Tamandua tetradactyla: one gene and its partners. The protein of the gene in region 1 interacts with the protein of each later gene in a pairwise test. Links are inferred from orthologs where the notes say so. Each region holds a gene or a part of one and is shown on either strand. Other genes may lie near its edges.

Region 1 (3,749 bases):
GTCTGCACAAGGCAGCACGGTCACGGGCTCAGGGATTTGGACATGGGCCTCCCGGGACCAGCATCCTCGCTTCCACGGGGGTGTCGCTGCCTCCGGCCCGGCTGGTCAGGCTCTGCCTCAGACCAGTGCAGACACGTGATCCAGGAACCACGGGATGGGGTCTGGAGAGAGGCATTTGATGGGGAGTGGGGAGGAGGGTCTTTCTGTGAGGAGGACTGAGGAGGACACCCCCGGGAGGAGCTGCTGCGGGAGGAGGGACACGCAGGCAGCAAGTGACAGGCGAGCAGTTCCCTGAGTGCGGCCTGCGGCCGGAGGCCACGCGGATCACCACCGGGGCTCCAACCATGGGCCAGCCCTCCAAACACCAAGTAAACTTTTATTACAAATGTTGCCAAGAAACCAGACAATAACATCAGAAATAAAGTGCTCCCAGCACTGGACCCGAACTAGATTGGACTCCTTCTTGTTAGGCCGCTGTTCCCCTTTTTCCAGAATTCCTGTAAGAAACTCGGCACTAATTAGACTTGCCACACTGGAAGTATACCAAGAAATAAGAAAAACTGCTCTCCGCGCCCAAGATCAGCAATGGTGAGAAGCTGCGCCTGCAAACGGGCTGCTGCCGACTCACGGTTTACATTTTTTAAAAGGACAAATCGTGGAGGAGGGTCTGATAAGCTCTCCCAGCTGCTGAACTCCTGCCGGAGCTTGGGTGCCCTTGTCTCTTGCTGTGTCACGCCGCCTTCCCTCCCCTGCCGGCTCTGGCCCACTGCCTGTGTGTGTGCGTGTGTGTGTGTGTGCGCGCGCACTGGCGTGTTTGTCTATGTGGTCTGTTTCCCCTGTGAGAACCCGGCCTGCCTGTCTCCTGCTGTCCCTGCTGCTCTGACTTGTTCTTTGCTGCCTCTTTCCTCTCCTCCCTTCTCTCTTTGCTCAGCTCCTAGCCTGCCGGTGAGTATGACAACCACCCCCCGAGGCCTACGAGAAGAGGTAGGGTGCGGTTTGTGGTGTTGAAAACATGCAACTTTGAGATCGAAGTGAGCTGTTGAAGAACTTTCCACTGCTTTGTTTGTAAGTGAAATGCGTTGCTTAGGAAGGAGTGCGTAGAACCTGCTGAGACCTCTAGTGCAAGCACAGGATTCTCTCTTTCAGAGGAGGGAGGACAATAAAGTTTATACAAAATAAAATTTAGAAATAGCTTTTGCTGAAAAACTAGCGAGGACAGAAAGGGACAGTTTAAAAAGGAACAGAGCTCCTTGGACTTTTTCTTCCCCTCTTGTTGATTTATCTGGAGGCTGCTCCTAGGAACTGAGCTGTCCTGTGGCTCACAAGGACGCTGTCATTCTGCTTTAAAGTGCATGTGGAGCGGGAATTGGAAGGATAGCCATGGAATTAAGTATAAAAACCATCGGTGGTCAGGGCATCTGATAAATACAGCGCAAATCGAATGCAGAGAACTTGTATCTGCACTAACCATACTAACACGCCTTTCAGTTGGCTTTAAACCCATCACTTTGAAGTTCGGTCTACTTTCAATTTGATTTCATCCTGAAATAGCTTCCCTAACACTTTACAACCGACATATGAACGGAAACCCTTAAATGTTTACTGTTTTCAGATTGATTTTAAAAAGTGTTCTCTTCCCTTGGTTTCTGAGGATGACATGCTAAATACCATGATGCCTTCCACAAGAGCTTAAAATAACCTCTGGCTGGACAGCAGGTGCCACATGCCCCCGCCTTGAGCTGGGGGCGGGGGCTGGGAGCGAAGTTAAATATAGCCGGTGTGCACAGCACGTAGGGGGCAGGCCATGTGGCCGCTGACGGCGTGGCCCGGTGACGAAGCTGACCGATGGAGTGGGTGGAAGGAAGGGCTTCCTTCCAAGTGAATGAGAGCTGGGGGGGGGGGGGGGGGGCCTCATGGGAGTCTCCATTCATGCTGGTGTCCGCGAGGCCCGGGAGAGGGAGTGGGGCGGTCACGCTGGCGTTTCCTCTCCCTGCCAGCGCGGCAGCACACCTGGGCGCCAGGAGGAACCTGCCAGGTTTCTACGCTGTGAATTAACAGGCTCACTGTGAAACACCCTTTACAAGCGGAAAGCTATTCTATCTGTTTCTCTAAACATCCTGGCTGAAAGGCCCAAGCTAAAGCTCTTGCAAACTCAGAAATGGAGACCGCCAGAAACCCTGGAATCTTTTGCCTCATCACGTCCCTCTCGGACTATTGCCCGGATTATATCTGGATTTTTTTTCCCCAATTCATCCTTTCCCTGAATACTGGCCACTGCTATTTCTTAAAAATAAATAAGTTATTCTGGTGTTTCTTGACTGAGAAGAGAAAGCTGGGATCTGTTTTATCCTAAAGGAAAGTGGGTTTTAATGTTGGAACAAATGTGTATTGAGTAAATTCAAGAATTATCATGAGCACCACCGTGTAGTCACACTGGGCAGTCCGTTTGTTTATACCTGCTCTCACTGTCTTATTCTAGAAATGATGCTAGTGTGAACCTCAGAAAATGTGTTTTACTAAATGACAATTACATGTTACTCATCTGGGAAAAAGAAAACATTGGAAAAGCAAGAAAGTACCTCCTGCTTTCACCATTTTTGGTGTAAGCATTTACACCAAAATATTCATATTGATCACATCTTGAGTTATGGATTAAAATAGAGTTTAGGGATATTGTTGTAATGGATACTTTTAGTAGACTCAACAGCTCTTGCATTAACTGTTTTAACTTTGAAAGAAAACTAATACCAATTTAAATTTCAACCTTTAAGTGTATTCAACCATGTGCTTCCAACGATTTTGAACCTACATAGAATTGTATGAGAGAATGATAGCCACTAACTGACTATTCTAAGCAAAATGTCAAACAGGGCCATGCAAAGGAAATAATAGCATGAATTACTCTTTTCATGACAATAATAGGGGACACAAGTGGAATGCAAAGACCAAAACAAAAGTATGCTAGTAGTATGACTCAATTTGGAGAAATGACTTCCACCTGTTACTACCTTACTAACTAGCATCAGTGGCTTATGAAGGGGCGTTCAGTCAATGTTAGAAACCCATTTGGGGTTGTCCTTACCATTTACATACAGCTGAGTTAACTACCTTAACCTAACTGTGCTCATCTCTAGGCACTGCTCCCAATATGGAGACTGGTCAACCCATACTACCCTCAGTGGAACCGCAGTCAACAGCCCCAGGGGATGGAGAGGAGAGTTCTTCATTGCCACCGAGGCTAAATGGCCTGGAGAAGCCAGATGGCCAGGATTCCTCACCCCCAATCCAAGAACCAGAGAAAGGGGCAAGTGTGCAGCCTGAAAAGGCAGCTCATGATATCTCCGAAGAGTTGAATCGACAACTGGAAGACATTATAAGCACATACGGGTCCGCCGCCAGCACAACGGGGCAGGAGGGCCCTGGCACAACCAAAGAGAGGGCAGAATCCCTTGACCACGAGGAAAGGGACTATGAAGAGACCATGGAAGAGACTGAAAGGGAGCCCACAGCTTCTGGAGAGCCACCTGCAGCCAAAGAGTCTGTCGGCAATAAAGAGCAAAAATCGGAAAAGAAAATCCTAAAGGGATTAGGCAAGTCATTTGTCCTACTCTGTGGCTTTTCTCTCTTTGAATCTGTCCTAAAATGGGGCACTTCCTCTGACCTTTACTAAAAGCACATTTAGATAGATATGTCTCTCATTGGTTGGTTATAACAGCCTCCTTCAGGGATGCCCTGCATCTCCTCTTGCC
Region 2 (3,749 bases), on another chromosome or scaffold:
ATTCTGGAACTTGTGGTGAAGTGCTGAGTTCAGCCTGAAGGGCAAGAATGGAGGAAGCGAGAATGCAAGAAAGGAATAAGCTGGCCATGAGCTGTTGCAGTGTGAGAATCCAAGACTGCACAAAGGCTGCAAGGTTGGTTCCCCTGGGTGTGTGCATCTATCCCATGAAGCCACTGGACAAAGTCACTGAAAGTTGGAAAATGGCGATCGTCTTTGGACACCTCTGGTGTACAATATACAGAGTCAAAATTCAAAAGACTCATGCTGGGCAGGCCACTGTGGCTCACCAGGCAGAGTTCTCGACTGCCATGCCAGAGACCTGAGTTTGATTCCTGGTGCCTACCCATGCAAAAAAAGATTCATGCCATAGATTCTTAATTACAGTCTCTTGAAATTCCCCCCACCCTCTTCACCAAAAATAATTGGCACATCTTTCTATTAATATGAAATTTCAAAACTCATGCATAGTCCATGATTTTTGACAAAGTAAAATACCAACTTATTAAACAGATTTGCAGCACTTACCCCGTAGTATTAGGAGCCTTGTTCTCCATGTCAAGAAGCTGTTGCATCTGGTTTATGGTTCTTAATTTTTAATCTGCTGGAGAGAAAAATGATCTAGATTCCTAAAATGCTTACAATTATGAATGTATAAAACATAAAAATTTTGCTTTTAGCAAACTATTTAATGTTAGTTTCTCTGAGATAGTAGTAACTCTTGGTTCTACAAAATGAAGAAACGGGCTTATTTGGGGGGGGAGGGAGGAGTGCTCCTTTGTATTTATGACATAGGCTTAGTGATGAGTTGAAATATGTGGTACTGACTGAAATTGGCATTCGTTCCCTATTTGTTGGACAACAGCTAGATACCAGGTGCTTTGCAGAGTGCTCAGTACATGGGGATGAGTAAACTGGAATTCTTACTCAAAGGAATTCCAGCTAGATTTTCTCAAACTTTCCTTTCCTGTGAATCCCCTAAATGGCATGCCTTTATTTGAGTAAATTCTTTCTCTGGCCATTTCTGGGGTCTGTTAACATAAACATACCAAGAGTTAAGGACAGAAGCCTGAAGAACTTTCTAAAAATACAAATCTTACAGTTCCTTAATGGTTCTATGGGCACTGGCTCACTCTCTTGACAAAATGAGCTTATGTACTTGCCTAACACAAGATAGTATTTCCCCCAGCAACAGTTTTATTTTATAATTAGTATATGAAGATAAATGGACAAAGTATTGAAAAAGAATTCAACTCCGAATTACTGAATAAAAGTCAATGAAAGCGCATTTATGGTTGTAGAAAGAGGAGGAGGAAGATCCCGGGATTCATGCCACCCAAATCAGAGGAATTTAAGGGAGATCCTACAGTTGTGGGTGAAGAGGAGGGGCGAAAAGCAGGGGCGGTGAATGAAAACTTGAGCAGCAAGAACGGATGAATAAACAGTTTCGTCAGTTCTCAAATCCCTCACTTTCACGTCAGGGAAACGGAGGCACAAATTAAGTGACTTGCCTAAGGCCACACAATTAGAACCTACACTTCAAAGTCCTTGCATCCCGGGCTCTTTCCCACCCGCCGCGTGCACAGTCTCCCCCAGCCTCCTGGGGTAACCCCTGCCTCTAGGATTGCGGGTGCCAGCCCGGCCGACGCGAGAGGGACCGGGGTGAGGTGGGCAGGGGAGGCCCGGGGCCCTGTTACCTGTCTGTGCCGCGCCGCGCCGGCCGCGCCTGCCCGGGAGGTCTGAGGCCCCGGGAGCAGGAACGCGGGGAGCCCTCCCGCCCGCCCGAGGGGCCCTGCGCCCGCCGCGCGCTCCCGCCGCCCCGGCCCGCCAGCCGCGCGGCCTCTCCCGCTCCGCCTGCCGCGCCTCCTGGTTGTCATGGGGACGCGGGCCGAACTCGCCGCCGCCGCGGTAGAGGGCAGGGGCGGCGGGGCGCTGCGGCGCCGGCTGACTCGCTGGAGGTGGCGGCGGGACGGCCCGGCCAGCAGCCTCTTCACCCCAAGCGAGCGCGGCCTGGCTGTCCCGCAGTTAGGCGTGTGGTGCCTGCTCACTAGTCAGAGGGCTCCCCGATACAGGCTGGGTCCCTTCCTGCCTGTGGCTCCAGTGCCTAGCCCGCTACCCGACGCCCAACACAGGCCCCATAAAGGTTTGTCGAATGACTGAAGGAATGAAATAATGAAGGAACAAAGGGTAAATGGCTGGGGGTTCCATATTCAGGTGACTTCACCACCCCCCCGGTTCCCAGCCTCTTCTCCCCAAGTTTGAAACAGGATGAAAAATAAACTGGGTACTTTTCCTTTCTATTCGCCAGTGTCTTCCAGCTGGGAAGGGCTGGATTTCTTTAAATGCACAGCTCAGTCCACCGCCACTTCTGTCGCCCTAACAGCAGCATTTGTGCCTGTCTTTCCCATACAACTGGGTCTGTAATTTAGGCAGAGCCGATAGTATTGTCTTCCTTTTAGGTATGAAGAAATAATTCTCAAGTGAGGGAACTAGAACGGAACCCGGGGTGGCTGATTCCAAATTCTTTTCTTTTCTCCACCAAATTCCAGGAATAATTGATGACAGCAGCCCTGTCCTACCGCCCTGATTTCACAGAATGTCGGGAAGGGCTATATGTTTATTATATATTATAGGTCATATTTTTATAAATTATATTGCTTTCTTGAGGGAATTATTTTTAAGCACTTGAATTTTGTGTTTGAAAATATTCTTGCATCTATTTTAGGAACAGAATTCCTTCCTAATACATCGAGTTGATTAGCTTCTAATTCTTAAAATCTTTTATTTGTACTCCTCTTCATAACATTAACATTAATTTGCTACTTTAATATGGCTATCAACTTAATATAGACTCATCCCTCCATCCAGGTTCCATTTAAATTTCATGAAACCATTTGCTATTTCTTGACAAATTGAGTCTCTTAGATGAATTGTATAAAGTAACACAGGTTATTAGTTATAATAGGTGTTTCATAGAGCTATTCATATTATTGAATGAAGAGAGTGATCATTTCATCATAACTTGAAATTTTCCATTATTCTGAAAGCCTTGGCCATGTTGGTCCTTCCTCTTTACACTGAATGCTTTGATGTAGGTTTCCTGACTTTAGAAAGGGAAAAAGAACTTGGAAAAAAATGTAAGTAAGTTCCAGGATACCCAAGGTAACTCAAGCTTGTATAGCTCTTTACCATTGGTAAGTACTTTCACATTCAGTATTTCTTTAGATGCTCAGAAATTCTTGTTTGTGAAGCTGAGTGTAGCAACGATTATTAATAGCAACTCCAGGTTCGAGATCTCCAAGATGATACATCTAATTCAAGTACAGCTAAGATATGAGTGTAGGGCATCTTACTCCAAATCCAGAGCTCTTCAAATTCTGCCTAAAAGCCCTAAGTATAGCAGTCAGGATTTTGCATAGGTACCTGAAGAGGTATTTAAAGCCATAATTTCACAAGAAAGAATGCCTATGTCTGGGCTTGTAAGACATAAGTATGTGAGAGGACACATACTCTGATAGATTTTAGGAAAATGGAAAAAAAAGAATAGGAGTTTTCCGTTCAATTCAAATAAGATTAAGACTTTCATTTCAAGATGAGCATTAAGGCTAAAAATGCAAAGACCTGCCCCTTCTCCAGTAAGGAGTGTTTGCGATGATTTGAATTCACCCTGATATATTCCTGTTAATAGATCCTTTCAGGTGAGCTGTTTTGAAAAGGGATGAGCACAGGGGGAAGGCCCTGAATCTACAGGA
Region 3 (3,749 bases), on another chromosome or scaffold:
AACCTCAAGGGCAAGCCTGACTCCTCCCAGCAAGGAGAGCTGGGAGAAGGACAACTGAAGGACAGTCCTTAGAGGGCTTGGCTCAGTCCTGCTACTAGTGGCTCCATGGAGAACCCCCTGTTCCACCACTGTCCTTCCTGGGCCCAAGACAGTGGGCAAGGCAGAGTGCCAGAAGAGATCAATGACATCCTGGCCTGAGGAGGGAGAAAGTAATGGGGTAGGGATCTGTGAGTACATGTAGAGGATCTCTCCTTGTTCTGACCCCTAGAAGGCTCCCTCCCTTGTGCCCTTCACAGGCAGCCTCAGGCCCCAGGTCAGGCTGAGTCAAGAATACAGCAAGAAAAAAAATCAGAAGTTAAATGTATCCCTAAAAAAGTTCACCTTCAAAGGCAGAAAAGAGAGCCAGAGAGACTAGGTACAGCTTCTCCACTGACTTCCTGTGGGAGCTCTCTTAACACCTCCAAGCATATTTCTACATCTGTGAGATGGGGAAAATAATGACTATTTTTCTCACTTCAATGACATAATGTGTTTTAAAGTGTCTGACCCAAAGCAGGTCTTAACGATAAAGATGTAAATTGTAGTCAGATTATCTGGATTCAAATCCTAGCTCTGCTTTTTTACTTTTTGTATGACCTCGGACAGTTCCTTAACCTCTCTGTGCCTCAATTTCTTCATCTATAAATTATTTTCCTCATAAGGCTTTTGTGAGGATTAAGAGAATATATTATAGAGTGTATTTTCAAAGCAGGGTATTCTAAGTAGGCTCTTTCTAGGCCTCAAGCTCCAGTTTGTATGATAAGGCAACACCAGCCCCCACTTAGGTGAGCAGTCACAGTCCTGCTCTAGAGCATTTGGCACTCACCCCCAACCTTCAAGGCCAAGTGCACATTTGGCATTCAAGTGGAGCCTTCCCTGACTGCTCCGCCCACAAGGTTCTCCTCCCAGCCTCTCAGGAAGCCCTGGAGCCCTGGGCTCTCCTCCCTACCTCCCTCACAGCCAGGCCTGGCACAGAGGAGGGCGCACAGTGGGGCTCCAGGAAGACTTATTAGCTGACAAACTCACTGTGAGTTTCTGGTTCTGGGCCAGGGAGCAGCCGGCAATTCCTCAGGTTATTAGAACTGGCTATGAAGTAGTGGCAGGTGTAAATCATTCCCTTCACCTCAGTCTCTTCACCGGAATCAAAGCCCTAGGTGTCCTTTTGGCTCAGAACATCTAGACTGCAGCACCATGGAAGGGGGGGGGTGCCTGTTTCCTCCTTTTCTCCCCAAGGAGGAACAGATGGAATCCAAATATCCAGTGCACCCCCGGGAAGAAGACTAGTCAGGTGAGGAACTGACACTGATGGGTGTGCCTAATCTTTGTCTGCTATGGTTCTGGGAACTTTCAGATATTTTATGCCTGGATGGCAGAATGATTTTAGTGCCCCCTGGTCCTGGCAGTTTTCAGTAGATGTGTGTCTCACCCAAATTTTCTTTTGTACTGAATCCTGTCGTAAACACTTGGGCCTCAACTGAACCAAATTCGGTCCTGGTCCTGAAAAAGCTCCTAGTTTGCAGGGAAGAAGAACCTAGTTGCCCTGTAATGCAACTAGGGGGGGACAGAGGTGTGCAGTGCCAGGTTCTCAGTTGTCTCCCTGCCCTGACCTCCCCACTCCCAATTATTTGGCGGAAAAACTTCCTAGGTTGTGCCTCCCACCTCAAGTCCTGGGAACCCACCAACATCCCACCCACCCTTGGGGGACAATTAATGGAAGTCACCCTACCTCCGCCCCGCGGGTTTTACAGATTAACCTGGGAAGCATCCAGAGGAGTAAGGTGCGGAGTTTTAACTCCTTCCTCTCCAGCCCACTCCGGGGGCGTCAGTCCGTTCTTTCCAGCCCTAAACCGGGGACTCCGACGCCCTGGCCCGTGGAGGTAACACTCACCAGCTCCATCCTCAGCTTCATGATCTTGTCCCCCAAGCCGTGGCCCAAGCTAGGCGCTCCTGGGAGCAGCAGGGCGCCAGCGGTCCCCGGCTCCCACTCGCCTCGCAGCCCGCGGAGAAGCCCTTCAGGGGTCTTCCTGCCCACCTTGCTCTCCACGTCTCGTAGGTCAGGCGTCTGGGACTCTGCGGTCCCCTCCATACGGGCCCAAGCCTGTGCGGGGCTGGGCGACCGGACGCCGGGGTCCCGCTCCCGGGGGTCTTCCTTTCCCCGCCGCCACTGCAGAGCGGAGCAGAACGGGTGGGTCCCCGCCCGCGCGGCGCACAGGCGGAGGAGGGCGCCGTACCGCTCAGAAAAGCCGCGCAGAGCCTTTTCTGAGAGCCGCGCACAGTCTATTCCAGGGCTGCGCACACACCCTCTAGCTCAGGAATGCGCTAGGAGAGCTCAGCGCCTTCTCCCCACTCTGCCACTGAATCTAAACAGGCACACATCAGGCGCCCAGTAAATGTTTGGAGCTTGATGAACAGTGGTAGCAGAGGACTGCAGAGAGTTTTGAAAGGCTTCCTGGGGTAGAAGAGTTGGTAGAAAATAGCGGCTAGAATTTAGCTAATCACTGACACGCGCGGGCACACACATATACACACACCAATTTCAGCTCCTCCTTAGACAGGAGGAGCAGAAACTAAAGTCCTTCTGCCCAGCGGCAGGCAACCAGTGTTGAAGCTTTAGTGCTCTGCATGGGCCAGATCACACCAGATCTTGTAGACTGGTGTTCCCTAAACTTGACCGTTCCTTTGACTCATCTGCGGAGCTTGTTAAAATGCAGATTCTGATTCAGTAAGTCCGAGGTGGGCCCTGAGATTCTTCATTCCTAACACGCTCCTGGTGATGACTATGTTATTGGTCCTAGAACCACACTCTGAGTAGCAAGGTTGTACAAGGCTGTTTTAAGGTGTTTGGATTTTATTCTGTGAGCAATGGAGAACCATAAAAATGTTTTGTTTTGTTTCAGCTTAGTTTAGATTTTGGTTTTTTAATCCAAGTAATTCAGTTCACCGTTACAGAAGGGTTTACAATGAAAAGATAGTTATCCCTGCCTTACCTTTTCCCGCCTCTAGTCCCACTTCCCAGAAGCAACCACTTTTAGCTTTTTTTTTCCTTCTAGTATTTAAATAGGTTTATACCACTGTTTCCGTTTACTAAAGCTGCTGGAATGCAATATACCAGAATGGGTGGGCTTTTTCAGTGGAGATTTATTAAGTTACAAGTTACAATTCTAATGCCATGAAAATGTCCAAATTAAGGCACCAAGAGTTTACCTTCTTGAAGGAAGGGCTGCTGGCATCCGGGGTTCCTATGTCAGGTGGGAAGGCACATGGCAATGTCTTCTGGTCCTTCCCTCTAAAATATCTCTGTGGGTGTTTATTTTCTCTCTTAGCTTCTATTGGCTCTCTCCAGAACTTCTCTCCTTTAAAGAACTCCAGCAAGCTGATTAAGACCCACCTTAAATGGGTGGGGTCACATTTCCATGGAAACAATCTAATCAAAGGTCCCACCCAACAATAAGTCTGCCCCTACAAGAACGGATTAAAATAACATAGGCTTTTCTGGGGTACATAACAGATTTAAACCAGCACAACCCCTCTTTCTTTCTTTTTTTTTTAATTAGAGAAGTTATGGGTTTACAGGAAAATCATGCATAAAATAAAGATCCCCATATACCACCCTGTTATTAACACCTTGCATAAGTATACTACTGGTTCTTGATTTTAAATGTTTGTCTATTGGTTTCCTATTATGGAAAGTATGGATTTAACTCACAATC

What was found.
Region 2: the proteins of TXLNB (region 1) and DEUP1 interact in binary tests that used the Homo sapiens proteins (3 or more experiments, as listed by UniProt). The two-hybrid records come from large-scale screens. The link is inferred for Tamandua tetradactyla from reciprocal best matches to the Homo sapiens genes TXLNB and DEUP1.
Region 3: the proteins of TXLNB (region 1) and LURAP1 interact in binary tests that used the Homo sapiens proteins (3 or more experiments, as listed by UniProt). The two-hybrid records come from large-scale screens. The link is inferred for Tamandua tetradactyla from reciprocal best matches to the Homo sapiens genes TXLNB and LURAP1.

Annotation. Positions count from the first base shown.
Region 1 is NC_135351.1:39,321,261-39,325,009, reverse strand, and holds the start of TXLNB (beta-taxilin), read left to right. Parts: upstream 1-763; 5' UTR 764-945; intron 946-3,134; 5' UTR 3,135-3,148; coding exon 3,149-3,590; intron 3,591-3,749. UniProt on the Homo sapiens protein: Promotes motor nerve regeneration. May be involved in intracellular vesicle traffic.
Region 2 is NC_135334.1:49,843,878-49,847,626, forward strand, and holds the start of DEUP1 (deuterosome assembly protein 1), read right to left. Parts: upstream 2,473-3,749; 5' UTR 2,286-2,472; intron 1,792-2,285; exon of another isoform or gene 1,695-1,791; intron 641-1,694; exon of another isoform or gene 599-640; 5' UTR 573-598; coding exon 526-572; exon of another isoform or gene 1-525. UniProt on the Homo sapiens protein: Key structural component of the deuterosome, a structure that promotes de novo centriole amplification in multiciliated cells.
Region 3 is NC_135328.1:176,648,157-176,651,905, forward strand, and holds the start of LURAP1 (leucine rich adaptor protein 1), read right to left. Parts: upstream 2,555-3,749; 5' UTR 2,126-2,554; coding exon 1,928-2,125; intron 1-1,927. UniProt on the Homo sapiens protein: Acts as an activator of the canonical NF-kappa-B pathway and drive the production of pro-inflammatory cytokines. Promotes the antigen (Ag)-presenting and priming function of dendritic cells via the canonical NF-kappa-B pathway.